Linked DNA regions of Cricetulus griseus. The protein of the gene in region 2 interacts with the protein of the main gene of each other region in a pairwise test. Links are inferred from orthologs where the notes say so. Each region holds a gene or a part of one and is shown on either strand. Other genes may lie near its edges.

What was found.
Region 1: the proteins of Coq8a (region 2) and Tfip11 interact in binary tests that used the Homo sapiens proteins (3 or more experiments, as listed by UniProt). The two-hybrid records come from large-scale screens. The link is inferred for Cricetulus griseus from reciprocal best matches to the Homo sapiens genes COQ8A and TFIP11.
Region 3: the proteins of Coq8a (region 2) and Tmem239 interact in binary tests that used the Homo sapiens proteins (3 or more experiments, as listed by UniProt). The two-hybrid records come from large-scale screens. The link is inferred for Cricetulus griseus from reciprocal best matches to the Homo sapiens genes COQ8A and TMEM239.
Region 4: the proteins of Coq8a (region 2) and Tmem159 interact in binary tests that used the Homo sapiens proteins (3 or more experiments, as listed by UniProt). The two-hybrid records come from large-scale screens. The link is inferred for Cricetulus griseus from reciprocal best matches to the Homo sapiens genes COQ8A and LDAF1.

Annotation. Positions count from the first base shown.
Region 1 is NC_048597.1:91,997,648-92,005,806, reverse strand, and holds the start of Tfip11 (tuftelin-interacting protein 11), read right to left. Parts: upstream 4,651-8,159; 5' UTR 4,521-4,650; intron 4,294-4,520; exon of another isoform or gene 4,093-4,293; intron 3,040-4,092; 5' UTR 2,826-3,039; intron 2,541-2,825; 5' UTR 2,532-2,540; coding exon 2,323-2,531; intron 664-2,322; coding exon 510-663; intron 243-509; coding exon 86-242; intron 1-85. UniProt on the Homo sapiens protein: Involved in pre-mRNA splicing, specifically in spliceosome disassembly during late-stage splicing events. Intron turnover seems to proceed through reactions in two lariat-intron associated complexes termed Intron Large (IL) and Intron Small (IS).
Region 2 is NC_048598.1:14,069,508-14,076,917, reverse strand, and holds part of Coq8a (atypical kinase COQ8A, mitochondrial), read right to left. Parts: intron 5,237-7,410; coding exon 4,823-5,236; intron 4,587-4,822; coding exon 4,520-4,586; intron 149-4,519; coding exon 74-148; intron 1-73. UniProt on the Homo sapiens protein: Atypical kinase involved in the biosynthesis of coenzyme Q, also named ubiquinone, an essential lipid-soluble electron transporter for aerobic cellular respiration.
Region 3 is NC_048599.1:48,203,370-48,209,703, forward strand, and holds Tmem239 (transmembrane protein 239), read right to left. Parts: upstream 2,819-6,334; 5' UTR 2,804-2,818; coding exon 2,351-2,803; downstream 1-2,350. Other genes in the region: CUNH20orf141 (uncharacterized protein C20orf141 homolog), read right to left, coding at 3,473-3,728, 3,816-3,973.
Region 4 is NC_048596.1:80,520,546-80,528,626, forward strand, and holds the start of Tmem159 (lipid droplet assembly factor 1), read right to left. Parts: upstream 4,651-8,081; 5' UTR 4,502-4,650; intron 3,563-4,501; exon of another isoform or gene 3,530-3,562; intron 2,146-3,529; 5' UTR 2,088-2,145; coding exon 1,947-2,087; intron 1-1,946. UniProt on the Homo sapiens protein: Plays an important role in the formation of lipid droplets (LD) which are storage organelles at the center of lipid and energy homeostasis. In association with BSCL2/seipin, defines the sites of LD formation in the endoplasmic reticulum.

The DNA of each region.
Region 1 (8,159 bases), on a different chromosome or scaffold from region 2:
CCCCATACTTGACGGGCTTCCTAAAGGGAAGAGGCAGACGAGGCATCCCTCTACCAAACTCCTCTTGGGCCACAGCCTCACTCACCCTGTGCATTCTTCCCCAGGCCCCGCCCAGGGACGTAGCCCATCTTCTGTAGCAGCTTCTGCCCGATGCCCTTTGTGTGTCTCTCCCAGCTGCCAAAGTCCATGAACGACTTGGTTCCTCCAGCAAAGCCTTTCTGGCTGGGCTTAAAATTGCCACCCTGCAAAGAAGGCCTGATGAGCATGGGTGAGAAAGAAACACAGAATAAAAGGGAGAATGCCAATGAGAGAGAGAACAGCCTGCAGCCAGTGTGCTATGAAAAGCTGTGTGTAGACCGAAACCACATCAGGGACACAGACCAGGAAAGAGACTCAGGACCTATGGGGGTAGCATACACAGTTGCCCACTGGGCTTCTCTCTGCCAAAGAAGTTGCTGCACTGATGACCTCTGACTGTTGCCACTTAGAGACTATCCTGTGAGACCTACCGTTTTTAACTTCTTTGGTCCTAAGTCCTTTGGAAAGTCCTCCTGCTTCGCAGGCTTTTCATCATCATCAGAATCATCAGAGTCCGCTTCTTCAGCTGCCCCTTTCTTGAGCCCTGCGCTGATGAAGTTGACCGGTGCAGAATAGTCTCGGGCCCTGTAAACAGACACAAATCCCCCAAGGCTAGAAAACACCTCTGCAGCACCCTGTCCTCACAGAGAGAACTTCTTAGAGAGAGGGGCCTCGTGGGATCCACTTTAAACCATAATATGTTTATTATGCCCAAATGCCAAAAGGGACTCAAAACTGACCTCCAATAATCTTATGTTTAGCATATTAAAAATTATAATATCTTGCCAGGCAGTGGTGATACATGCCTTTAATCCCAGCACTCGGGAGGCAGAGGCAGGTGGATATCTGTGAGTCTGAGGCCAGCCTGGTTTACACAGTGAGTGCCAGGATAGGCTCCCAGAGTTGATTATAAATTAAAAAGATGATGTAATAACCTTACTTCCCTTTGACACTTTTTTTTTTTACTTTTGGTTTTTCGAGACAGGGTGTCTCTGTGACTTTGGAGGCTGTCCTGGAATTAGCGCTTGTAGAGCAGGCTGGTCTTGAACTCACAGAGATCCTCCTGTCTCTGCCTCCTGAGTGCTGGGATTAAAGGTGTGTGCCACCACTGCCCCACTACCTTTGACACCTTTTTTTTTTTTAAAGATTTATTTATTTATTTATTTATTATGTATACAGTGTTCTGTCTGCATGTGTCCCTGCAGACCAGAAGAAGGCGCCAGATCTCATTTTGGATGGTTGTGAGCCACCATATGCTTGCTGGGAATTGAACTCAGGACCTTTGGAAGAGCAGCCAGTGCTCTTAACCTCTGAGCCATCTCTCCAGCCCTCCCTTTGACACTTTTAAAAATGTGCACGATGAGGGCACATGTGCCTCGCAAGCATGTGAAGGTCAGAGGGCAACTTTGTGGGGTGGGTCTTCCTTTTCACTTCTTATGTAGGATCTGGTGATAGAACTCCGATAGCCAGGCTTGTGTGGCAGTGGTAAGCAGCTTTACTTGCTGAGCCATCCCACTGCCCCCCCCCCTTTACAATTGAAAAGAATGTTTTTAGCTTTTAGAGTGGTAAAGCACTCACCTAGCATGCATGTGGCCCTAGGTCCAATTCCCAGCAACACACAACACACCATTTGTTTTAGATACCATTTCAAGTGTAAAAATCAAACAGGAGCAGAAAAATTCTGATAGATAAGAATCTTAGCTGGGCAGTGGTGGCACACACCTTTAATCCCTGCCATTCAGGAGGCAGAGGCAGTGGTAGGACAGCCAGGGCCACACAAAGACTCCCTGTCTCGGGGGGATCCTAAGTAAAATTAATAAAAAATTCTGAGTGTAGTTAAGTGTGGGGACACATGCATTTTTCTTTTCTTGTGAGACAGTGTCTTACTGTGTAGCACAGGCTGTCCTACCACACTTATCTTGTGGCCCTAATCACTCTCTACCTTCATTTCAGCCAACTGTATTCTACAGGGTGACCTTCCCTAACCTCCCTATCCTTTAGGACCTGTGAGAATGCTCCTTGACCAGGGCATGGTTCCAAAGCTACCAAGCCTGTGGTTGGTTAGCACTCGTCTATCCCTAAGTAGCTGTATTCGTCACAGTAAGTGCTGAGGAAGAACCTGCCACCCCAGGTCAACAACACACAGCAAGATGCTGTAGCTATAGGACTTGATAGGCCAGAAAACTCTTTTGGGGTGCCTCTCCGATCCTCTAAAGCCAGGGCATGCAGCTCAGCAGACAGTACCGTTTGCCTCCAAAGCTGGGCCTCTCTTCATCGGAGTCATGTTCAGCCCATACCCCATAAGTGGCCTCCTCCTTGGTCTGCCAGTGACGCTGCCGGTTGGGGTTGAACTCATTCTGGAGATCCCAATCAGTGATCTCAAAGTTCTCACGCTCATCATCATCATCGTCCAGATGACCTTCCCCGTCCCGGTACAGGTGGGACAGTGACATGGCTGGTCACTAGAGGAAGGGGGACAAGAAGAGCAATGTGAAACCCTGGGGCCAACAGAAGATGCCCAGGAATCTCTACTCCTGTTTCTTCCAAAGGAAAGCCCATTAGCCTCATGCTACCAGTCAATAAAGTAGCCATTAAACACAGGACAAAGTGGCCAGCTCTGGGACAAGTGAGAGAAGTCAGTCCCAGCAGTCCATACAGGTCTAAGAACCCATTCTGCCTTGGCCTTGTCAGAGTCAAACATCACCCATAAGTGCCACAGGAAGGAAGTAATAGTTCTATGTTATTACCTCAGAAACTGAGTGGGCACCTCAGCCTCTTCAGTTCTCCAAGAGTTATATCAAGCCAACTGGGAGTCCCAGGGAAACTTCTGAATGTCTTCTGAAATACTGTTTCATGAGATTGAATGACCAGTGTAACACTCGGGTTTTTTCTTTCAAACCTGAGTGGCTTCTGAGGTACTGGAAGGCTGAGGTCTTTATGAATGACACTACACAGCGGCACCTAGAGGGTGTGGGATAAACAAACTGTTCTACCCAGGAATCTGTTTGGCCATCTCGGTAATTGTATCAGTGACTACAGTCGGTTTTAGAAGGACTGATTAAAGTGGCACTTTAGAAAAGAGAACTCCTGCCAGGAGTTGGTGGTGCACGCCTTTAATCCTAGCACTCGGGAGGCAGAGGCAGGCGGATCTCTGTGAGTTCTAGGCCAGCCTGGTCTACAGAGCAAGTGCCAGTGCCAGGATAGGCTCCAAAGCTACACAGAGAAACCCTGTCTTGAAAAACCAAAAAAAAAAAAAAAAAAAAGAGAGAGAGAGAGAGAGAGAGAGAGAGAGAGAGAGAGAAAGAAAGAAAACTTCCTCAACACCTACTCCACAATCCCCCTCCTCAACCTCCCACCCCACCGCCTCACTCAGGAGGCAGAGGCAGGTAGGTCTACTCTGTAAATTCAAAGCCAGCTTGGTCTACATAGTGAATACCAGGCTGGTCGGGGCCACACAGTGAGACCTGGTCTCAAAACAAACAAAATAACAAAAGCTGAGCTCCCAATAGGTGCTTTAAAAACAGCATCCTCGCCGGGCAGTGGTGGCGCACACCTTTAATCCCAGCACTCAGGAGGCAGAGGCAGGCGGATCTCTGTGAGTTCAAGACCAGCCAGGTCTACAAGAGGCAGTTCCAGGACAGCCTCCAAAGCCACAGAGAAACCCTGTCTCGAAAAAACCAAAACAAAAACCAAAAACAGTATCCTCTTCAGGCTGGAGAGGCAGAAGCAGGCGGATCTGTGAATTAGAAACCAGCCTGGTCTACACAGCGAGTTCCAGGACAGCCAAGGCTACACAGAGAGACCCTGTGTAGGGACGGAGGGAGGTAGGGAGGATTGTGAAAATCAGGAACACTTAAACCACACAGCCTGAGTTCAAAGCCCCCCTCTACCAGCGCCTCTGTGCGTGGTTATCACATGCGTGGATATCACACACAAAAACGCTAGCGTGGTACACAGCACACTAACGTCCTCAGTGTGTGACGCCATCGACTGACAGCGGTCTTCCTTACGTACAGCGAGATCTGGGCTTCTCTAGCAGGGTGGGACTGCTTAGCCATTAACAAATGTGTCCCTGCTCCTCCTCATTATGCACCGTTAACATCAACAGGTTCCAACCTGAGCTACGAGTGCACTTTGCTCGCAAAGTTCTCAAAGGAGGCAGGGAGCCCTGGACCAATCGGATTACAACACCGTCGCCTCCCCAGCACAGAACTGCTACAAAAAAAAAAAAATTTCACAGCGGTCAGGTGCTGCTCACAACACGAGCGCGCCCGGGGCTGGCTATCCAGTGTCAGCATCGGGACGCTGGCGGCTCCCAGCGCCTCATCTGGTCCCGGCCCCGCCGCAGCCCATGGCTGGAGACCCGGGCGCAGGGAGGCCATGGGGCCGCCGCAGAGGCTCAGCCCGTGCTCCCAGGACGCCACCCCGACCCCGCCGCTCACCTCGCTCGGCGTTTGCCAGCCACACAGCTTTCTCCAGCCTACGAGAGCCTGCGAGGAGCCCGCCAGCCGAAACCCGGATGTAGCCCTGCCGGCGCACCGGAATGACGTCACTAGGCGGTGACTTGCCACTAGAGGGGGGAGGGTCTGCGTGCCGGAAGGACTAGAGATCCCGCCCGCACTGCTTCCGGTTTCCACCGGAACTGAGGCGGAGTAGACATCCGGCCAATGGAACGCCATTGACCGGTGTCCAAGGGAGCGTAGGAATGGTTCCGGGAACCCCCCCCCTCGCGGATGGGAACAGCCGGGTCCGGACTACCTGAACCAATGTCACGCGGACCCTGAGTAATTAAAACGCCCTCGGCACTCCCTGTCGCGAGAAGGGAAAGCGAGGGGCTTCCTAGGAGAGATTTCTCCGTTCCGATCCCCTCGCTGCAGAGCAATCATCATGCACACTTCCGGGCTTTTGTTTCCTCTTTGCTGTAAACAGGAAAGGTAAAGGAGCCTAAGAACTTATCTCCAGGCAGTCTGGCCAGGCTGTAAATAAACCCGTTTTCCTTTGCCAGTCCCTATTCCTGTTTTCTCCTGAAACAGACTGACACTAAGACAGCAGATTTCTGCACCCAGGTGCCTCCTTCTTGGCTCTTTTAGGACAAGCCAGCCTGGGCCCACAAAAGTTTAAGGCATGAATGGGCGGAAGGCGTGCACAAGCGTTCTCTCCAGGAAGAAGTTTTATTATTTTCCTCTCCGCTCCAGTTATTTCTCTTGCTGTGATAAACAACTAAGGGGAAGCGGGGCGGGGTTTTTGCTTGGATTAGTTTGGGTTTGGTTTTTCAAGACAGGGTTCCACTGTGTAGCCCTGGCTGTCCTGGAACTCGCTTTGAACTCGCTGGTCTGCCTCTGCTTCCAGAGTGCTGGGATTAAAGGCGTGTGCCACCACCGCCAAGCAAAAGCATATTTCATCTTACGCTTCTCCGGGTTATAGTCTGATGCCATCTAGGGTTAAAGAAAAAGTTAGTTTTCTCTCACGTCCTGGTGGGGTTTTTAGTTGTTTTTTGTTTGTTTGTTTGTTTGGCTGGTTGGTTTTCCCTGTCAGCTTCACACACACAAGAGTTGTCTGGGATGGCCTGTTAGGCAATCCCGTGGGGTCATTAACCTGGTTAATGATTGATGTAGGAGAGACCAGACATTGTGGGTGGTGCCACCCCTGCTTTGATGGTCCTGGTTGAGCTTGGGGAGCGAGCCAATAAGCAGTGTTCCTCCATGGCTTCTACCTCAGTTCTTGCTTTCAATTTCCATCTTGTTTTTCCTTAGTGAACTGTAACCTATAAACTCTTTCCTCCCCAAGTTGCTTTTGATCATGGTCGTTACAACTATGAAACCTAACTTAAAACGCACCGGAAAGATGTATTAGTGAAGCGCTTTGGGCATCTGTCAATGTCACCATGTTAACTGGTGAAGTCAGGGTCCCTTCTTGGGGATTATAGTCCATGAAAGAATTTAAGAACAGATAAAAACGAAGGCTAGAGGGCAACCCTTCAAAGGTCGAGCAAACTGTAACTCTCACAGCTGCCCAGAGGAGAATGGAGGAAAAGGAAAGGCATGATGCCATTTGAGATAGCCAGTTTGGAGGTCAGCCACATGGCATGAGGGGGTATTGGAGGGTAAGTCTAGATGCCCAAAGTGCAAATTTAAAGAAAAAAAAAAAAACAGGGCAAACAAGCTGGAGATCTAGAAACTGCCTGGGGGAGGAGAATGGAGAAGGGGAAAGCCTTGTCATAAGATAAACCGGCATAGAGGTCAGTCACATGGCGGGGGAGGGGGGGCCTTCAGAGAATATGCAAGGAATCCCAGTGCATGGAAATTAAAAGTACACTTATGTTGGGGAAGAATATTCTTGCAAGTGACAAAGTGAAAGTAACCCAGCCAGGCAGGCAAGCACACCTAAGCCACAAGCTGACTTCATTTCTATTCTGGCAAAGGTGTGTCTGTGTCTCACCCGGTTGGTAGGAGCTCAACCTCAATTTGACATGATTGCTACTCCATAATACTCACAAAGGGAAAGCCTGTGATGAAAAGTCTCAGAAATGTTTGGCATCTGAGGCTTGGACGTATACTACAAGAGTTTCACAAACTAAGGAGAGTTATGGAATACTGACCCTTAGGCAAGATAGCCATCTTTGATAAAACAAAACAAAAACCTTCTCACACTTGGGCTCTGTCCAGAATCCAAAAGGAAAAGACAAAAGAAGAAATGTGCCAGGCATGATTGCACACACCCTTAATTCCAACACTCTGGGTAAAAGTACAGGATATTGGATCTCAGTGAGACTTGTCCTAGATAGCAAGTTCCAGGGCTAAATAATGAGGTCTTGTCTCCAAAAATGAAAGAAAAAAAGAAAAAAAAAAAGAAACAAAAAGAAAAAGGTTTTCTGAGTCAGAAGTCAGAAAGACCCAACTGAACCTGGGTGGAAATTTACATTATTCTAAGACGAGCCTGCACGTGCATCACCAAGCAGGTCCTCAACCTGCCCCACTGGATTAACCCTTAAGTAGGGGAAACAAAAGCATCGGTAAAACATAGACTAACAGTTCTCAACCTCTGGGTCACGACCCCTTTGGCAAACCTCTATCTCCCCCCAAATACTTACATTATGATTCATAACAGCAAATTACAGTTACGAAGTAGCAATGAAAATAATTTTATGGTGGGCTGTGGTGGCACACGCCTTTAATCCCAGCACTAGGGAGGCAGAGGCTGGCAGATCTCTGACTTTGAGGCCAGCCTGGTCTACAAAGTGAGTTCCAGTACAGCCAAGGATACACAGAGAAACCTGTTTCAAAAAACAAATAATAATAATAATAATACTTGTATGGTTGTGTGTCATCACAGCATGAGGAACTGTATGAAAGGATTAGAAATAGAAATATCGAGAAACACCAATCTAGAGGCAGATCCAATTTTTTTTTTTTTTTAGATTTTATTTATTTATTATGTATACAACAGTATATCTGCACACCAGAAGAGGGCACCAGATCTCATAAATAGATGGTTGTGAGCCACCATGTGTCTGCTGGGAACTGAACTCAGGACCTCTGGAAGAGCAGTCCGTGCTCTTAACCTCTGAGCTATCTCTCCAGACCAGATCCTATTCTTTTATGTAACAAGTTCACCATTGAGAGAAGTCTGGACAGGAACTCAAGGCAGGAACCATAGAGGAATGTTGCTTAGTGGATGGTCCTCTTGACTCATTCACAGGCTCATCTTTAGTTAGCTTTGTTAGACAGTCCAGGATCACCTACCTTGGTACTGCCCACAGTGGGCTGGGTCCTCCTGCATCCAGTAACTATCAAGACCATCCCAAACAGACACCCCAACAGGCCAGTCATATCTGGACAATCCATCAAAACTTTCCTCTGATGACCATGTCGAGCTGAACAACTAAAGCTAACTAGGACATTTCAAACTGGTCGGTAAGTAAATGCATCCATTCAACCACTGGTTCTATTAAAATATACTGAGTGCCTAGGAGCTACACCCAAATAATATAGCAAACAAAATGGGTGGAAGGTTTGCAAGGACCGTCAAGAGGGACACTGAAACAGATTGCTGGGGAGTGGAGTTCATTAGAAAAGCTATTG
Region 2 (7,410 bases):
TTCCTGGAACAGAGGTGGGCTAGAGGCTAGAACCTCTAAGGCCACCCACCCTTCTACGAAGGGCCCTGCTCACCTGTGGAGTTCTCAGGACGCAGGCTCTTCTTGGCGACTTCAGCCAATGCCCCAAAGCCCAGACCTACTGCCAGACCTGGAAGGATTAGAAAGCAGATGCTTAGAGGCTGTGGCCTCCAGGCCTGGTCAGCAGCAGGCAGACGCTACAGTGTGCCAGGCCTTGCTGGTACTCCAGCACTGTGCAAAGGGAGTAAGTAAGGAGAGTACACACTGGAGGTTTGAAGACAACACTTAGCTCTGGACAAGTGCTTCTGTGAGTCTGCCCATCTCTTCCCCCATCACCTCTGACAGCTGCACACGCATGGGAACACAGACTCCATATCGAGAGGGACCAGCACAAAAAGGAAGATGGATTTGGCATGGTCTCTGGGCCACTTCCTGGCAACACTACCATAGAAGATGACCACTTTAAGTCTGCAAGAGGGGCCAGCAATCTTGATGTTCCTAAGCCTTCGCCGTAGCAATATAAAGCAGCTAGCAGTAAAAGGTAGAATGTTCCACAACAGCAAAAACATGGGGTGTCCCAGCTGAAGCCCACAGAGCCGGAACAGACCCTACTCCCTCCATTCCCATGCTGGCAGCAATAACAATGAGAACAGTAGCCTTGGGCTCTCCCTCCCTCCTGACTGAGACCAGGCAGAGAGAGCCTAGGAGTCTGTCTCAGACCCGCACCTTTCTGGGAGTTCCCTTCTCAAAGGCTGTCCAAGACAGGCACACCACTCAGAGACAGGGTGAGTGAGGCCTGATGCTTTCCAGCCTTTCTACAATAATTCATTAAAGAAAAATACTGGGTTTACTGAAAAACTAATTTCATGAAAAAAAAAATTAAGCTGGGCATAGCCACACATGCCCGTTATCCCAGCATTTGGGAGGCAGAGGCAGAAGGTCGGCCACTGTTCAAGGCCATCTGGGAATACAAAAGCCTTTCCTCAAAAAAAAAAAGCCACAAATAGATAATTTTTTAAATGCATTTTAATTAAAAGATATTCTTTTACAGATTTCATAATATATCTTATCTACCACTAGGTGGCAGTGCACTCTCTACTTTGCCCGCTCTAACAGCTGCTCCTACCTCAGAGGTCACCAAGAGAACCAAAGGGTAAAGTGCTCACATTATCAGGTCAGGGCACCACAACAAAAACAATCAAGCCAGCGATGACAAAATAAGTCTCATGCCAACTGCATGCATGACTTTAGATTTTCTAGCAGCCCACTTAAAAAGGCAAGCAGAAACACAAAGAGTGAATTCTAATGTATTTAACCCAGTATGTGTAAAATAGACATCATTATCAAAATTAAAGGCATTTTCCATCTGTGGGTGTGTGCCTGGTCTTGAAATCCTGTAGGGAGGCACATGCACAGCACACAAACTGGAAGAAGTCACAGTTCCTGTAATGCCCAGAGACACAATTTAAGATAGCCCACCAGGATGGTGGTGGCGCACGCCTTTAACCCCAGCAGAGGCAGGTGGATCTCTGTGAGTTCCAGGCCAGCCTGGTGTACAAAGCCACAAAGAGAAACTCTGTCTGGAAAAACAAAAACAAACGAACAACAACAACAAAAATCCCACCAGGGACATGGTGCCCTGGGATAGAGGCATTAACATGGATGCCTGGTGGGGGCAGGCACCAGCGCCGTTCTCTTTAACACTCCTCCTACCCCTGCCACCCTGCAGGGCACTGGGCACTAGAGTCCTGATTAAACATTAACTCCCCACCACCTGTCTTCCTCACCCTACCCAGCACAATATCCGACTTAGACACCAACCTTCACCAATGTCCCTTTACATCTAGAGTCCTCCTGCTGAGAGCACACCCTGAGACGAGCCCACAGAAAAGGCAGATGATATCACAGGTCATCAGCTTGTCCAGGTGAACACGGGACCCTCCTAAACATACCCTGGCTGGACTTCACGCTGTTTCAGACTGTTCCTGGCTGTATCTGGGCTCTTGGCAAAGCACAAACTCTACAATGGGGAGAGCTGTTACTAAACAAACGCCTGAAGGAACATTCCAGGAAGGAGGCCTCAGACTCCTCAGTAATAGCACCAGGCCCAGGAGCTGCCGACTGAGGGACAGGCTCCCTGCAGCAGGCAAACCAGAAAGCAAAAACAAGCTCACCCAGCCAGCAATTGTGATCTTGGCCTCCTCAGTTCTACAAACTCAGAAAAAACTGCCCTCCAACCCAAGCACTGGGCCTGGTGTCGTGTGATTCTTGGAATTCCCTGCCCAGCTCAGCCTTCATCTAGAGCCAGGTGGCTCTGGGGAAACTAATTTCCTGCCACCTGTCAGGTACCCTGCTTCTGCACCCAAGGACCTCACACAGCACTGCCTCTCCTACTGTGACCCCTGCTCTAGAAGGCTTGTCTACATGTCACCAGGACCAGGAAACCCCTGTTGGCAGCCTTCCTCCTGGCCTGTAACAACAGCACACTGCAGGCTACAAAGTGCCCATCCTGAAAGGTGGTTTTGCCATCAAGGAAGGGAAGTGGCCGGGCCCGAGCTCTCGGCAAAGCAGAGGCCCGGTGGGCCTGTGTCCAGGTCTGGGGCCTCTTCTGGGTACTCGGGTCACCCGAGAAGCAGTCACTCCACTTCCTCCAGTCACCAGAGAAGAAAAAAGCAAAACAACTTTCAACAACAGAGTCCTTCAAGAGCAGGACAGTGACACACAGGACAGCAAGAGCAGTAAGCCACCACTCCTGATGCTGTTGGCTCTGCCTGCTGAAACTCCGGGGCCTGTTTACAAAGCAAGGCTGAAAGAGGCCTCTGCAGAAGCAGCCAGACAACACTGAGCTATCAGGCACCATACGCCACAGACCCGGTCCTGCTTTTACCCCCCCCCCTTTTTTTGTACTCAGGGTGAAAGCCAGTCTTGTGTGTACTAGGCAAGGTCTCTACCCACTGAACCACACCCTCAGCCCCAAACCCCACTTTAGTTAACACACATGCTCACTCACTTTGTTAAGAAAGTCCACACAGAGCAGACAGATGGACATGGGCACTGCCCTTTGCTTCTAGGTATTAACAGTCTCCTGGAAGAATACCTGGCATCCAAGAGCATTCTCAACCCCAGAGAAGTCATGGTCCTAGGACAGGAGCCACAGCCCAGGTACAAAAGGAAGAGGAACAAAAGGGAGGGAGGGGAGCACCCCGAGGTTTCTTCTCCCAGGGCCTCAGGACCTGGCCAGAGGCGGGGAAGACCTAACAGGCCCTCTGCTGGCTGGTTACATGGAGGACCTAGTTATAGGACAGGAAGCTCAGATGTCCCCATACAAGACAGAGGTCTGGGCTCAGCCCCTCCTCTATGAGTGCACAGAATAGCGGCTACCACGATGGGGCTGAATCCATGAGGGTCGATTATTCCCAGCCTGTTTCTGCCCAACACCAAGTGAAGAATTTGCTTTACCACATACTTCAACCACCATGATGAACTGCCTCACTCCAGGCCCAGAAACAGTCAAATGAGCAGAGCTGAGCCCTCTGAAACCTATTGTTTCTGTCATGTTTTGTCAACAGTAAAGAAAAAAAAGTAACCAATACAGATGGAACATAGAAGAAAGCGTATTTCCCAGAAAAGGGTAGACAGAGGTCTGGGCCTCCCGAGCAACTCACCACCAGCAGCACCATGAACCCATCATACCTGTTACATACCCAACCATCTGGCCAAGGCCAATAAGTAAAATAAGCCACCAAAACTGTTATTTTGTCATTTATATTGCCTGGAGAACCTACTGGGGACAGCTACACCTTAATAAATGGTACCACCAGAAACCCATGTCAGAGTATCCCACTGCAGATGGCCAGCATTCCAAACAGGGCCTCTGCAGATGAGCAATGGGGACACACCTTCAGTGTGTAAGGTCCTTGCAAAAGAACGCAGGTATGAGATTTCAAAGGCTGTTCACATGACAGTAAGGACAGATGAAGTCCCCAACACTAGCAAAGTGAAATGGCTTTAACTGACAGCAACAGAGGGCCACATTCTGTCAATATCATCACACTAACAGCTTCAGACCAACGGGACCTGGTAAACCTGTCCCCCAAATGGCTGGACCCAGGGTAAAAAGTCCTCTATCCAGGGAGCTGACAGGTCCAGTGAAGAGCTTGTACTCATGGCCAGTCTCCTGTCTGCAAAGGCTGCCCTGACAAAGGCCCACAAAGTAGTCCAGGTTACAGCTCATGGCAAGATTTGGCCACACACCAGGCCCAAGGATAAGCCAAGATGGGGATGGAATTCAGTACCAGGTCATCACCCATGGGAACACCCAGACCCTTTAACAGCTAGCTCCTGGGCTACATTCCACATGCTTCCCAATACTGGCACATGGCTTGATTCCCAAACCACTTCCACCTTAATGCACAGTGGCCTCCACTGTACCTCCACCCAACCAGGACAAACAGGGCAGGGCAGTAGGAGAGGGGCAGCACAGGGAACGTGGCCACCTCACCTCCAAAGTTGGCCAACCGCCCAATCCGGGTAACTGGCACCTTCCTCTCCCGAGCCCGCTCGCTGAGCTGGAGGGGAAAAACAAAAGAAACCTATGGAATTGACAAAACTGACAAATGAAACAAGGCAACCTGAGGCTCATGCTGCCTGTACCCCCATCTCCACTCCCACTGGCCGCAACTCCAGCAGGCAGCACTGTACCAAAAGGTTGCCGTATCCTTCAAGACACAGCATCCCAACGTAGAGGGGGGGGGATTAGGGGTCAATACCACCCAGGTCCAACTATGCTGCCTCTCAGACCCACCATCTGCTTATGTGGCTTGCTCTCAGGGCGAGCCTTGGCCTGCCGGGCCTTCTCAATGTCTTCAGCTGTGAGGCCCCCCACAGGGGACTGGTCCTGGTGGAAGAATCTTCGCTGGATGCCACTGGCCAAGAATAAGTCTCTCGTATTGACAAAGAGCCTCCCATTGACTCTGCCCATAGGGGAGGTGGCCTGTCCCGACAGCCCCGCTTCCCTGAAGGGTCCACTGGAAACGTAGGTAGGAGCTGGGCCCTCACTGTGGGCATGACCCAGGGAAGAAGACAGGGACTGGTCCGGGGAAGAGGTTGCAGAGAAGTCCAGGGAGGTTTCAGCTGCCTGTGGTGTTGAAAACTGAACCTCGGCTTCCAGATCTTCAAAGTTCTCGGTGGCATACAAATCTTCATGCTTATCTTGACCCTGTGGAGAATAAAGGAGAGTGTGAAGAGAAGGACTGGTCTGGAACTCCTGGTGAGGGTACTGCATGTGACTGCCAACCAGCCCCCTCTCCCCTCCGAAGGTAAGGCTATGCCTAAGACCCCTGTGGAGGTCCCCTTCACAACCTAGGAGGCATCAGATAGCTCTAGCCTGCTTCTTCCAGAACTCTACTGTGATCTTAGCTGGCAGCTATACACACCACCGAGCACCCAAGCAGGGCCAGGAAGATGTACACAACTCTAGCAACGAGTTCCTCGCCTATAAAGCAGGGCCAACACTGAAGCCTATGGGGCTTTAAGGAGAGAAACCAGTACAAAAGGCGAGGAAAGCTTGCAGAAGCTTAAGATGGAGACCACTGGGTTCTGCGACACCTCAAGGCAGCAGACCCCAACCCCCAACTTCCCCACCCCACTCCTCTGTCAGCCCTGGGTTGCAGCTAAGAGGTTTTTGCTACAGGTGGTCAGAGAGCCTGGCTGTTCTTGTGAATCTGAGACATGGAGAAAGGGGGCAGTGAGCACCCCATGTTTCCTTTGAAAGTTATAGGTTCAAACTTCAAACTCAGGGTGAATTCAGAGATTCACTCTGATTTTTTAACCTTGAATGAACTTGAACAAGTTCCAAACCCTTCTCAGTGACTTCTACATCTGAAAATAGGGCTCCCGCTGTCAGTCAGTGACAAAGTTACAGCCAAGGCCCCAGAAGCTGCTGGTGAAGGCTATGATTACATAGCACTGTGCCCTAAAGAGAGAGAGAGAGGCCTATGGCCAGGTTTCTGGTTCAAATGAAATCTGAGCAAATGCCATGTCCTACGTGCCATTCACATGTTACATGGCAACAGTGGGAGGCCTGGAGCTCCCTCACTCAGCTACTTGAGATGCTCTGAGGACTCAAGAACAAGCCTTGCTCTCCCATGGCAGCGGGTGGTAGACTAGGTGCCACTCTCACCTCACAAAAGGAAACTAAGACTGCTGACGTGACTAGGAAAGGCCAGAAGGCAACAGCAGAGCAGGGTCCAGAGCCAAGGGCCTGCTCTGCCATTCAAAGTCCCAGAGTAGAAGAAACAAGTCATACTGGGAGAAGTTCTGGGTTCTTCTCATATAGCCAGGCCTCATATGAAGAGTCTGGAGCAGAGGCCCCTCCTGTCCCATGGCTTCCAGGTTAAGCACTTGGTTTTATGTGACTGCTATTAAAGTAGCTGGGGAACCCTACAGGCAACAAAGGACCCTTGTGCCTGACAGGGCCCCAGCCTCGGTATGCACCTGATGGACAAATGTATGAATAAGTGCCTGGCAGCAAGGCACACAGGTTCCCAGAGCAATCGGATCCCTCAGACATCAGGTGACGAAAGGAACCCCAAACCCAAGTAGTAAGGAGTGAAGGGGGGCCTCCTCCATGGCAGTGGACTAATCCATCTTCTTTCTCTGGTGACTAAGGGAAGGTGACCCTGCCTGCTATAGACTCTAGCTAGACACATAAAGGAATGGTGGGGACAGGAGAAAGTCCTGGAGGAGTGTCAGGAGAGAGCTCGCACGCCAGTGCAGGAGGCCCGTCTAGCATGCAGCCTTCCTTTGGAGTGACCTAGGTCACTGGAGCAGGCTCACCTTCCAGGCTTTCCACAGGACAACCCCCCAGCAGGACTCCCACCACCTCAACACCAGGAGGACAGGAGCTGGGAGCAAACTAGGAAAGGACAAGGATCCCTACCCTATCGAGAGTCTTGCATCGACCTTAGCCTGAGAAATAGGAGTAAGCATAGTAAGCACACAGCCCTGCCATCAGCATTAAAGGACCTCAAGTATACAGGGTATGAAGACTTCTACAGAGCAAAGGCATCTGTAGGGTGAGGAACACTGTGTCACCCTAACATATGAGGGAAGGGCCACGAATCCTGGGACTGGGACAGCCTCATACCCAGAGAAGCATGAGACCTTTATCCAGAACCGTGAAGAGAAGTGCTTGTTTAAGCCTCCAAGTCTGTGGACTTCTGTTGTAACCACAGTACCCTCACAGAGGAACCTGATCTGCCCTAACATCACAGCAGGACAGGACAGTAAAGAGACAGGGCAATCTCTGTAAAACAAACATGTGCGTGTGCACACACACACACGCACGCACGCACGCACGCACGCACGCAGGCAGGCAGGCAGGCAGGCAGG
Region 3 (6,334 bases), on a different chromosome or scaffold from region 2:
AAGAATGGATAGAAAAAAATGTGGTATATTTATACAATGGAGTACTACTCAGTGGAAAAAAAAAACAATGAAATCCTGAAATTTGCAGGCAAATTGATGGAACTAGAAGAAACCATACTCAGTTAGGTAACCCAATCACAAAAAGATAAACATGGTATATACTCACTCATTTTTGATTTTTAGACATAGAGCAAAGGATCACTAGCCTAAATTCCACACTGCCAGAGGAGCTAGGAAACAAGGAGGAACCCAAGAGAAGATTGCATAGTCCCTCGAAGAAGGGGATGGGGACAAGAACCCCTGACAAAATTGGAGCCCAGGGCAGGAAAAGGAAGGAGAGTCTTCATCCAGTTGCTGTTCTAAGCAGAAACAGACACCCATAGCTAAGCACTGAACCATACTACTGGAATTCAGTTGTGGAGAGGGAGGAGGGTTGAGCAAAGGAGCCAAGACGGGGATGGAGAGACCTGCAGAAACAGTGGACCTGACCTACTGATAGAATGGAGATCCTAGTCATAAATCTGGGGAAATAGCATTGGACCAAACCAAACTCTCTGAATGTGGCTACCAGCTAGGAGCCCAAGACAGTCTATGGCTCCTCTGACAGCATAGCCAGTCTTTATCCCTAGAGCACAAATGGTCTTTGGGAGCCCACTCCCTATGGAGGGATACTATTGCAGCCCAGATACAGCAACGAGGGTCTAGACTTTCCCCCAAACAATATGACAGACTTTGAAGGTCCTTGGTAGAGGGCCTCACTATCCCTGGAGAGGAGTCGGGGAGTAGGTTGGGGTGGGTTGGGTGAAGAACATGGGAGGGTGAGGGAATGGGGGGATGGATATGTAAATATGAGAAATTAAAAATAAAAATTAAAAAACAGATAAGGAATTGGGAAGCAGGAGGAAATGGGAAGGGGTGGGTGTGGATAAAGACTGTTAGCTGGGCCCTGGCAAATTATCTAACATGTCTGTCACTTTATTTGGTAACTGATACTCAACATTTTGGTTGGAGGGGTCAGCAGATAGGTAAATGGCCAGACTCTGAGGACTTATGGATGATCCAAAACCTTCTGGGATGTAAACAACTTGCTTGATCAATTTTGGAAATCCCTGAGCTATTACTTCCCTACTCACACAGCTTTGCAAGCATTTCCTGGCTACAACCTCAAGCATTGCACAACCAGTATAGTTCAATATCTGCCTAGTTTGAGGTTGTATGACACAACCTTTTACATTTCATCCACACCATCTATTCTGTGTTAACTATTTTAGGGCTGAGATTCTATCCACGACAGAATTTCTCTGGAATTCTAAAGAAACTTGCTTCATCATCTTAACTTCTGGATTGAAAGGCTTTTTGCGCTTGTAGAATGTTCTTGGAGCCAAAACATCTTAACTGCTTTTTGGCCTTACAAAGTACTTTTCATAAAACCAAGCATTGTGGCACAAGTTTTAATCCCAGTACTCTGGAGGTAGAGGCAATAGATCAGAAGTTCAGAGTCATCCTCAGTTAAATAGTGAGTTCAAAGCCATCCTGGACTTCATGAGACCCTGTTTCAAAATGAAAACAAAAACAACAACAAAAACCCAAAGTATTTTGCAAATAGATACTGACTTTGGATCATAACAGTCCCATGAAAAGAATGGGACCCACTTAACAATGAGATTCAAAAATAATGAATTGGCCAAAGTGTAGGTGTCTGAAATGGGACTTGTTCTTTCCTAACAGATCTGGAGGCTCTGTATGTATGTAGGGTGGAGTGTATGCTTACGTACAAAGCCTTGATTCATTCTCTAGCATGTGTACACACACACACACACACACACACACACACACACACACACACACACACACACACACCTCACTATGATGATTGGTCTATTTCCTGTTTCTGGGAGGTGATTGAGGTGAGGTCACCAGGGTTTTGGACCAGGACCACCCCTGTCTATCTTTCAGTAAGGTTCTTTCCCAGAGTCTATGCTCCTTCTGGAAGCAGAGGATCCATGACAAATCCACACAGAGTGATGAGACCAGGGATATATAGGTGTAAACTCTCAGGAAGCCTGAAGCAGGGAGGGCTGGGAGGTATGATAAAAAGATGCTGCCTGGGAGACCAAGTGTTGCTACCACATCTGTACAGGTGTTCTCAGTGGTTTGACCAAGATCTTGGCCCTGGCTGAACCATTTGTCCTGTCCCCGACACCAACATGGGTTTAAGGTAGATTCCCAGAAGCCAGACCTCCACCTGTGCTTGTGATTGGGGGTCTGAGGTCTGTTGACGTTCCCCACAGGGCTCAGACCTTGGCCAGGGCTCAACAGACACAGGCAATAAGATGGGGTTGCCCTTCTATTAGTCCAAGTCCTGGGCATAGCCTGGGTGAGTCATGGAGGTAAGGAGGCCCACGAGGCTCAGCAGTGTGGAGAAGAGCAGCAGGAAGGAGGCAGCGAAGAGCAGAGCAGGCATGGCACTGAGTACCAGCAGCAGGATAGCTGGCAGCAGGTGGCTCCATACCACAGCCACCACAGGCCACAGGGAGCTCAGCAGGTGGGAGCCAGTGGTGAAGAGTGCATGGCATAGCATCAGTGCGAGCAGCAGGTAGAGTGTCCCCTCCAGACCCCATAGCATACGCTGTAGAGGTTGCCGCCAGCCTGATGTATTCCACCACTGGGACCAGCTCCGGGGCATGTGGCATGCCCACCATCGCACCCAGTCCTGACGGGTGACCCAGGCTGACCAGGGCACTGCCCGCTGGGGCCCCTCGCCAGCCCCGATGATATCCGTCTCCACTCGTGGCTGCTGCATCACGGCTGGTGCACCTGTGGACAGGGCCAGGCCAGCTGCAGGAGCAGCCCTGGAGATGCCCAGGATCTCTGGATAGGTGGGGTTGCAGGGGTCAGGAGGATACCAGCACGGGCAGGATTGGGCTTTGAACTGGGGCCTAGGACTTACCTTTGGTCAGAGCCACCTAAGTCATGATGTTTCCTGTTGTGCCCAGGCTGGCCTGGCAGCCAGGTCCCAGGCTCACCCTCACTCACTCCACCATCCTCAGAGGAGTCCATTGTGACCTGGGCTGGGGCGGGGCCCAGCTGAGAGAAGAGCTACTGCAGCATAGTGTGAGACTCACTTGAGTCCCTCACTACGGACCTTCCAGGCTGGCAGGAGAGCTCAGCAAGCCTCCCAGATACCATTCTTCTTGCTTGTAGGAACCCTTCCCCACTCCCGTCCCTTCTTGATGGCTACCTCCAACTGCAGGACTGGAGTTGGTTGTTGTGTCCACCCTTTTCTCTGCCTTCTCTTATCACCCTAAGCCTCAGACCCAGTTCTCAAATGTCCATATTATGGAACTAGAGGCCTCTGAGGTTCAAGCTGACACAATAGTGTATTCTACCCTTACACCACAACCTCTGTAACTCAGGATAGAAGAGAGGAGAGCCGGGGAAGCAGAATGGGCGATGTATTTTTAGAAGGCATTCAGTTTTCTGAGGGCCCTCGGTCCCAAGGATGGAGGCAGAAAGCAAGGCCCAGCAGGGCTAAGGGTATACCAGAGCCTCCCAAGAATAGGCCCAGGCCCAGGAACAGCAGGAACAGGGCATCCTGGAGGCTGAGTAGTCCTGAGACTATCCCTGTTGGAAAGAGGGGAGCTGCCTGCTGTCCCGGACCTTCACCAGCCCCCTGGCTCTGACCCATCGGGAGAAGTCTGTGTCTTGGCAGGATGGGACCTGTGGACCTGTGGAGAGAGAAGATGCCAGCTCAAGGCAATTGCTCATCTGACTCTGTGCTTGTGACACCCACCTGGCAGGCTGCTGCCACTTACCCATGGAGCAGGTCAAAAGCAAGGAAGCTGGCCAGCAGCAGGAGCAGCAGGGCTAGGCCAGCTTTCGAGAAGACTGTTCCAATTGTCACTCCTAGTGCCCCCAGCCCTAGGATACTGTCCAGGAGCTGGGCCTGGCTGAAGTCCCAGGGGACACACATGGCTCACTGACCTACTCAACCACTCTCCAGTATCCAGACTGCTGGGAGGGATAATATGGAATCTATAAAGGCTTTGGGGATGGACGAGCAGAACTGGGGCTGGAGGTATTAGGAGGAGCTAGTGCTAGGAGATTAAGAATCAGGGGGAAGGAGGACCCTGGTTTACACTCAAGGGTGAGCTCAGAGAATAGGGAACTGGGCCCTTTGTGGATGCCCCCACCCCCAACTCTCACTCTATCTTCACCAAACCCTCCTCACCTCCTCCCACTTGGGCCGACCATTCTGGATTTGGACACCTGGGGCATTGTGACTTATTCCCAGGCAGTGCCTTGAGTTAAGGACAGGATAACAGTTTGTCTTGCCTCATAAACACTGGTAGCCTAGGTAGCGCTTAGCTAGTACTCACCCTTAGTTATTGCCATGGCAAGTAATTCTCTGCCCCGGGGGACTTCCCATGGCTTCAGGCTTTGTCAGGAAAGCATGCTAGCAGCATGACTATTTGGACTCCTGCCAAGGGAGGAGAGGCTGCTTCCTCCTGGAAGTTCTCAGGCTGGGTGTCTGGGATGCCATTCAGCCATTTAATTTTTTCTGTACCCATTTCTCTTCCCTGAATGTGGGGTAAGGCCCTGGGGGGGGTAGTGGGGGAGTTAGGTCTCCAACTCTGGGGTGCAGAATAGGCTTTTCCAATGGGTAAGCTAGGCTATGGGTGGCAGGAGGATGCCATTGGATGTCTTAAGCACTGCAGTTTGGGGAGATGTTATAACTTCAGAAATGGGACAGAGAGCTGGATATGGTATCTTATGCCTTAATTTCAGCACTCAGAAGGCGGAGGCAAGAAGATTGAGAGTTTAAGGCCAGCCTGGACTATATAGTGAGATGCTGCTCAGAGAAACTTGAAAAAAAAAAAAGATAGAGGTTATGAACCTAAGAGGCTTACAACATTGTGACCTCAAGTTATTCTGAGTTAGGGTTTGTTCATGCCTTCCAGGCTGGCCTTGAAATTGCCGTGTAATGCAAGGTGCTCTCTAACTCTCAGTGAGTCTCTGCCTCTACATCCTGAGTGCTAGGATTGCAGGCGTGCAGTACTGTGCCTCACAAAAAACTCCAAATAGGAAGTTAGGGCTGCAGTTTAAGAATGAAATTAAGGAATGAACATGGAATAAATTTATGGTCACAATTGCTGGTTACTATTATTCAATGAGAATAAATGTGTTCCCACTGAATGAATCTATGAAATGGGAGTGGTTGCAGAGCTATTAAGTACATGGACAGTTTGGTGATAAAAGATGAGTAGAAGTGACTTAGAAATTTAACTGTTACTCATACTTTGAAGGAAAACTGAAGGGAGTGTGGTAGGGGAGACAGTGACAATATAGACAATGACAATATAGCCCCAGAAAAAGGAGAGATTGAGTGAGAATGATAGGAAGGGCATTCAGCTGTCTCCCAGGAAGCCGTCCCCAAAGACCCAGGCCTTGGCATGTTTGGTGCTGTTGGACTTGAAACCATAGAGCCAGTGTCATTTATCCTTAATATTATTTACCTATTGCCTTTCCACTGGCTTTTGTTTGACTGGGAACTTTGTTTCAGATAAGTTTGTCTATGGGGACATAGGAAACAGAAGATGATCCTGTTTTTTTTTTTTTTTTTTTTTTTTTTGTCTAAGTCTCAATTGTTTTTGCAAATGAGAAAATTAGCATCTAGGTTTTCAATTGCCAGTTCCATGAGTCTGTTCATTTCTGGTGCAGCCACAAGATTGCATCGCTGAACTATGGAATTGAGAGTCATGTCCCGACAATTCTACCGAGAGGAAGTAGCCACAATGCAAGGGGTTGGGAATGGGGTGTGCGGCTAATACTCCTTAAGATTTAGTGTGTGCAAGGTGCTCCGCATAATTTGTAGGGTAGTTAGTTCTACTTGGAGTTTTCTCAGTTTATTTTTTGTCCAACAATAATTTATAAATTGATCCCTGAGTGCCAGATCTACTGTTGGGTTATAACTCCTAAGGCAGACATTCTACTGAGGGCTTGGAGTTGTTCTCAGAAAGAAAATAATTAGGAGATGAGGAAGGAGAAGGACAGGGTAGAAGAAAGGGATAACCTAGCATATTGTCTTGTCTGGAGTCTAGCCTGACCTTGCAGATAGCTCTGAGAACAGTGAATTGTGCTATAGAGTTGGTCCCATCTTATCAATCAGTCATTGATGATAGCTCTTTCATGGAGGAAAGAGAAGGGAAGTTAGAGAACTGTAACTTTCAGCATGAAAGCAACTTCTATCTGCTGAGCGCTTTTGTCTGTAGAAATCAAACAGCTATAATTTATGAATGGCAAACAATGGGGGTGGGCACACTGTTGGTAAAGG
Region 4 (8,081 bases), on a different chromosome or scaffold from region 2:
TCCGTCCTAAATGGGATCTCTTCATCAAACTCTTACCCTCATGGTTCAGGGAGCTATGCAAAAGAGAAGGCAGAAAGATCTAAGAGCCAGAGGGAAAGGAAGATTAAAAAAAAAACAAAAAAAAAAAAACAGTATCTTCCAGACACAAAAGGACTAATGCACATATGCAACTCACAGACTGTGGTAGCATGCACAGGGCCTGCACAATTCAAGGTGGCCAGTATCCCAGCACCAAGAGGGTCAAATCACATGAGCTTCCATCCCTAACCAAGAAGCTATCCACTTGCGAAGGAAAATGGAGTCTCACTGGCTTATGGGCAGGCTCCAAGCCCAGCAATAGATGGATGACAGAAAATGAACTCAATGGTATTTTTGTAGACTTTTTGTCTCTCAGTGCTTTGTTTGGGCATTTTTTATCTTACTAACCTTTTGCCTGTATATAATGATTTCCAATTTTGTGTTTTTATGGATTGTGTATATGTGTGTTTCTTGTGTTGTTTTCTTTTTGTTTATTATGCTTTGTTTTTTGCTTGCCAGTTTGTTTTATGGTTGGGATTTTTGTTTATTTGTTTGTTTTTTGAGACAGAGTTTATCTGTGTAGCCCTGGAACTCCCTCTGTAGACCAGGCTGGACTGGAACTCAGAGAGCTGCCTGCCTCTGCCTCCTAAGTGCTGGGATTAAAGGTGTGGACCACCCCCGCCCAGCATGCCTGTTTGTTTTAAAGAGAGAGAAAGAAAGGGCATGGAGTTGGGTGGGTGCTGATTCTCTGAGAGAAGTAGGAAACCAGGATGCAATATATTATATAAAAAATATCCCCCCCCAAAAAACAACAGTGAAATAAAAAGAAAAGAAAACTGGGGGTGGTGGTGGTAGAGTGCACCTCCTCCATCAAAAACTGGTCTTTCCTGTGTCTCATTCCTCAGGGCCTTGGAGGCCAGTGGCTGAAATGAAGTGCCATTATCAGAAGGGCCTCTTTCTAAATCACATACTTCTCCTATATTTTAAGGGTGGGAATCTGGAGCGTCTATAAGTTAGAAACATTTCCAGCTTGTTATGGTTCAAACCTGAAATTCAATGAAGTCTTGCCTCTGAAGATTCCACCACATGTGGATCTGGGAATTCAAACTCACATCCTCATGATAGCTGGACAAGAGCTTCACCCACTGAACCATTGTTGAAAGGCATACAGAAAAAAAAAAGATACAAATGCAAAGTATCTCAAATCCCACTGCACTGAGTGGTGGTGACTGAACATGATAAACTTGGCTAATTTGTATCATAATAGTCCTGTAAATTCAAAGAAGCCTAGGATTCTGAGTCAGTACAAAAAAAAGAATGTGAAACATTTCCTTTTCCATGACTATATACTAAAATGACACTATTTTTGATTTATTAACTTAGATACATTCTTAAAATTAAGCCATTGCTTCTTTGTACGTAGGGTTAAGTAATAAGATATTTTAGTGCACATGTGGCTAAAGTAACATTTCTGTTGGATGATGGATTTCTAATGAAACAAAACTCAGATCTTAAACTAGTTATTAGCTGGCCCCCTTTCTTATGGGAGCAGATGAGCCAAACTTTTCAAAGAAAAGAGTAGTGTCTGCTAAAAGTAGCCTCTTTAGATTCAGCTGAAGAGTGGCCATTATATGGGATGTAAATGGGAGTGTTCTGCAATTCTCTGTGACTTCCAGGAATCTTCCTTAATTTGGAGGTGGCTTCAAAACAATCGTTCTTCCCACTCCCCTATTGTCCTGTTACCTTGAATGTCAATATTATGACTGATGCTCTAGCAGCCACAACGAACATGGCACAACTCAGACATATCAAGGTGCAATGAGAAAGATTCCTGACTTTCTTGTAAATTTGCATTTGAGAAAGAAGCAACACTCTGTCTTGTTCAGACCAGTGTTCATTTCTCATTATACATAGCATTGGAGACTAACCTTTGAGTTACTCTGGAAGGAGTCTAACAGCAAACACAGCTTCCTTTGCAGCTCCTGCAAGTCTCTGGAGACACTTGGGGGCTCTTCTTTAGCCATCTTGAAATGTCTTTCAGTCTCACTATAAATTATATCTTCTACCATTAAGTTCACTGATGTAGCATGTAGCCCAGCCTCTCATGTCGCCTGTCTCTTGCTATCACTGAAGGAAACAGAAAGTTTCTTGAAACATTAGTAATCCCTGAGGAGCCTGTACCATCCCACACACTGATGGCAGGCATGCAGATGGATACAACTTGACAATATTTATCAAATTTATAAGCTGCACAGACATTGATCCAGCAATTTATTTTTCATGAACCTAAATGAGTTAAATAGATATATGAAAATATTTCCAAAGGGTGTGTATCTCATTCCTGTTTGTAATATATAATGACCAGCAAGCAAGCTAGAAGGAAGAAGCTAAATCTGTTTATTATAAACACGTCGATGGCTGGGTGTTGGTGGCACACGCCTTTAATCCCAGTACTCAGTACTCGGGAGGAAGAACCAGGCGGATCTCTGTGAGTTCAAAGCCAGCCTGGTCTACAGAGTGAGTTCCAGGACAGGCTCCAAAGCAATACAGAGAAACCCTGTTTCAAAAAACCAATAAATAAACACTTCACTGTTTTATACCACACACAAACACACAGTATAAAAAAAGCTAGAAAGACATAATCTCTGAGTGTGTATGCCTTTTAGCCTGAATGTTGAAAAGAACATATGACAAACAAGAAAACTATATGTACTATTCAAGTTTCCTCACCCCTTCTCTCTACCCCTACCCCTCCCAGTCTTTTTTTTTTTTTTTTTCTCCTTCAACAGGGACTTGGGACACTTTCTCTTCTTCATTTGGCTCCCAAGCACCTTGAACAATGCCACCTTTTATTTATGTGTGGTAAGGTCCTCACTAACAATACCTGTCCCCAAAGCCTTGGCATAATTATTTTCTGTCGATAGAAAACCTGGAATTTACAAGACTATTCATTTCACATCATTTATGCGTTTTTTTTCATGAAGGCAATTCGCCAAATTAGATACACTTTTAGCCCTCGTTTGGTTTTCAAATAAAATATTATTCTTATTTTATGTATCCCAGAACATCTGTCTGGGTGGGACAGAATAGGATCTCTGCATATATCCTATCAGCCAACCCTCTGACCTCACATAACTTGAGCTATGTAGATTCTGTCACGGTGTCAAAAACAACTCAGAGATCCTCACGTTTATTTACCACATTGAATATCCCACTTGCCTATTATGTGTTACAGTGAGGAAACATACTTTACCACTGTCTACACTATAGAGTGTGGTATGTATAGTTTCATAACGCCGGCTACAAAGAGAGTCTCTTCTCAGCCAGGGGAGAACCAACTCCTACACCAACTCCCATATTTATGTCGTTAATGCAGCAGCTGGCAATGTTGTTGAATTTAGGATGGTCCCAGCCTTCAGTTCACCTAATTTCATCTCTGCAGCTGGCTAAAACAAGCCAACCTGCCCCCCTTACAAGTCGTCTTCTGGCTGGAAAACATGTAAGAGCCTACCGGACCGGTCTGGGGAGTCTGATGAAGGCAAACCTGGGAAGAATGCGGATGACCACAGTCAGCACACGCGTCTACCTAGCCACCAACCAATTTCCAGACCTCAACTTCTTCTAGGGTCCTCTGCAGACACTAAGCAGCATCATAAGGAAGGACCGAAGGAGCCACCCCAACTAGCCTAGGGCGCCCCGCCTACTCTGAGCTTGGGGGCCTAACCAGGTTCCCCCAGAACAGGCCCCGCCCCAAGGCTCCAAATAAAGCCTTGCCTCCCTACTGCCTCGTCCCATGAGCAAACCGCCACCGTGAACGTTCCAGCCGCGGGTCGGGTCGAATCCCAGAGCTGGGGGCAGGGCTTTGGGGCGCCTAAAGACCTATCCCGGTTCCCTTTTCCGATGAGTATTGAGACTTTCAATTTAAGGCCGGGAATCCAGAGAGAAGAAAAGGGTGTGACGTGCAGATGTAGATCTGACACCCGACCACGGACAACTCAGGATATTTGGGCACCCTTCACTGATCTTCTGGGGCAAACCCACCTTTGACACCTGCAGCTCACTCCTGCTGTGGCGCATGACACCCCTGTTGATCAATCCTAAGGAGGTGGTGTGGATGCCTGGGCGACTCTAAATTTTCCAATGCAGATTTCCCCCAAATGAAGCAGGGCCTCGCTCGTGGATTGGCACTGGTGCTCACCCCCACCCCCTATTTTTTAACCAAATCTAGCTACCGATGTGTAAGCGCGGGGATGGCTGGAAAGGGTGGGTGGGCTCGCCCCGTGAGCTCCCACCCGCGTCTAGCCAGCGACACGAGGCTTCAGATACCTTCAAGACCAACCCAAGAGACCAACAGCTACTGGCGAAAGAAGCTAGTGCACTTCTCCTGGCCGCCGCCGAACTCCTCCACTTCCCAGGACGAGCTTGGAGGGTTCAGCCAGTCGGGGGCCCCTAAACTCTACATCCCATAGCTTTGCTCTCTCACCTGGTGCTAGCTGCCGCGACACCCAGCTCAGCCGCCACCAGGGGCGGAAAGCAGAGTAGGAGGAAGAGAAGGGAAGCAGCCCTGATTGAGGACGGGAGCTGGAGCTCCCCACCGGCAGGCGCTCTTCCTTCAACTAGGAAGAAGCCCCGCTCTTCTGCCACGCCCCTCCCCTAGGCCCCCGCCCCCTCACCGAGGATCAACACTGATTCTCCGCCCAGGCCCAGGTTCCTGCCCCGCCTTCCCGCCGCAGCGGGAAGGATCCGGTATCCTGGCACCAGCCGCGCGGCTGCCAGCTTTGCTAGGAGTATTTGCTTCTTACCACACACTCTAGGAACAACCCCTACAAACTTTTAGACTCTAAAGGATGACTAACGAGGAAATGAGGGCTTGGAGACAGTCCCTACAACGGTGGCTTGGAGTGAAAGTTCTGGGGCCACGTCTCAGGTGGACTGGCCTCAGAAGATGGGTTTTTAGAAGAACTTTTCGATACAGATCCAGTTCTAGATTCGCCTCCGGAGTTCGAGTCGGAGAAGTACCTCCTAGACTGGAAAGTCTAGCCATTACGAAAGTGCAAATGTTGGCAGTCAGGGAATCTTAGAGATGGGTTATCTCCATTTTGCAGATTAAAAACAAAAACAAACGGAGAGCTAAAGGGATAAGGTTTATAAATAAACTCAGATCCTCTTCTCAAGGATCCATGGTAGAGAAACCCACGTTTCCTGATTCCAAATCCAGGCCTGAAGAGTGCAATTACTCAATAGTAGTTGGCATTTGAGATGGGATGAGTCTGTTTCCTACATGCCCTGTGCGCACTGTGGGGTGCTTGGAAGCATTCCTGGGTTCTACCCACGAAATAAATAAATATATGGTAACAGCTCCTCCCAGCTGTGATGGCTGAAAATGTTTCCGAGGGATTGGGGGATGGGGCGCAGCCATCGGGTATTCAGAAGCACTGCCTCTGAGCTTACAGTGGAAAACTAAGGGCTGGAGCTCTGGAGTCTCCATCTCAGGGCCCAAGTCTAGCTGTGGCTGTGTGATATTAGTAATATTAACTCTCATGGGGAGCATGGTAAGATAAGGGTGTGTCACTGAAGTTTTTTTTATTTCAGGCACTCTTGTCTGGCTGCATACACTTCCTGTAGCTGCAGTATAACACATTCCCACCCAGGGGAAAAGAAAAATGGGTTTGTTTTCCTTAGACCATCAGACCCTGGTGGACATTGCTTTGGAAAATCGGGGCTTCTCTGGGACTTCAGCGTAAGGGTGCCATCTAGGGGCACCTCTTTGAATTCTCTAATTCTTCCCACCTCCCGCATCCGTTTTTTAAATCAGTAGGTTTTGCTTTTCCTGGAGTGACACTGCCTTTCCTACAATACCTTGTATTTCTCCTTTGGGGGTCAGCATCTCTGTAGCATTGAGAACTTGGCTCTTTATGAACATTCAAAGGATTGATAAAATAAACCCATGTGAAGCCTCTCCTAGGCTTTCCCACCATTTTCTATAGCAATGAACTGAATAATTTTATCTCTTCGTCCCCCAGTGTGATGATATTAGGAGGTGGGGGCCTTTGGGAAGCTATTAAGCAAGAAGATGAAGCCCTTAATTAATATAATGCCTTATAAAGGGGGGAGATGGAAGAGCAGCATACAAAGCTGGCAGTCTAGAATCCTCCCTGTAATCTCACCATGCTGACATTCAGACTTAAGACTTCCATCCTTTAGAACTATGAGAAATGGTGTTTCTTGTTTTTCTTGTTTATTTTGTTTTGCTGTTGTTTTTTTTTAATAAGCCGCTCAGACTGTGGCACTTTGTGATAGTAACCCCTATGAGCTAACACACTTGTTCTAGTTAAGCAATTCTTTTTCAGCCCTCTAAGGTCTAACCTGAGCACTGGCTCTGAAGAATAAGAAATGGAGACAATTCTTCAGCAATGCATTAATCCTAACTGTTACTGAAAGACCCCAACTCAAAACCCAGCCTGATACCCACAAGCATGTATTTGAAAATCACTCTGGACACACACACACACACACACACACACACACACACACACACACACACACAGCTCTGGGAAAAAGAACACATGAAATGGTTGGTTCATGAAGACCAGTCTCTGGAAATTGTTATTATTACTAGTTTCCAAGGAATGCTATTATCCTCAACAACTGTCTGGTTTCTAAAAATTGTTATGGGTTACCCTGCTCCAGAGCACCCACGTATTGAAAATAAGTATAAGTCACTCAGTTCCTGGAAAAATCACTAGCTGTTCCATGGCCTTACAAGTGTAAAAACCAAAATAACATTCCAAACCCCTCGTGGGCAAAATTGTAAGTTCAGTTCCCAACCAATCAGTAAATGACTCATGTATGTTATAGTGAATCAATATGTTGTCACACTCCTGCTTAGTGACCAAAAAGATATAAAAACTGCTTGCTTTGGAAACTCAGATTTATCTCTTCTTAGGAAAAGACCCCAATGCATTGGAATAAAATCATTTTGCTTTTGCATTGAACTTGCATCCTGTGAGTGACTCTGTGGGATTGGTCTCCCCGAAGTTGGACCCCCTTTTGGGCCCAACATTACCAGCCAGAGCCATAATATGACCTAAATACAGCTGGCCTCTCCCCCTAGATTACCAGATTTAGCAACTGAAACTGTAGGACTCTCAGGTAAATTTCTTTTTGAGGTTAACAACCTATAACTTTTTGGTATATGCATGTCTCATATGTATTTGGAACACATTTATTTAAAAAGGTGTTTTGCCTGAAAAAATGCTTCCCTGAAATTCTGAGCTTCCTGGTTATCCTGAGTTTTATATGTCAACCCTAGGGATTTGAAGCTGAAGACAATGAGGGTCTTAAGCTGACATCATTTCTTAAGAATAAACAGAAAAGTGTCCTAAAGGATTAGTTCTCTTTCCCCCTATTTCTTCCCCTTCTTCTCTCTCTCTCTCTCTCTCTCTCTCTCTCTCTCTCTCTCTCTCTTCTCTCTCTGTCCCCCCCCCTTTCCCCATCTCTCTTTCCTCTCTTTGGAGACAGGGTCTCACTTTTAGCCTAGCCTGGCTCTTGTCATTCCTCAGTCTACACATAGGTTTTTAACTAAAGCCATGAGCAGTTCCCATAACCACATTCAAGTCCCAATTTTGCTGTTTACCCATTGGAGCAACTCTAGTCAGGTTGCTTAGTTAGTTAGCTAGTTAGTTAATTTTGTGTCTATATTCCCAAACATAAAAATTGGGAAAATAAGACTTTCTCTTGAATTGTTGAGAAGATAACCTTTATGTGTTGGGCATGAATACCAGCATATCACTTATCAGTAAACACAAAGTCCTCTTGTTTTAATGCCTTTGACCATAACTAGTTTTTAAAGAACATTAAATGTCAGATGAAGACTATCTTGCTACACAAGAGGCCATAAACTCATTAGTAACATGCTCATCTTTTTCTACTCCTCACATACATGGATGAGAGTCTCTCAGATGTACAATTCATCAATACAAAGGGCTGATTATACACTTTATGTTTGTGTGTGTGCTGGGCATCAAATCCAGACCTTGTATGTGATAGTCAAGTGCTTTACT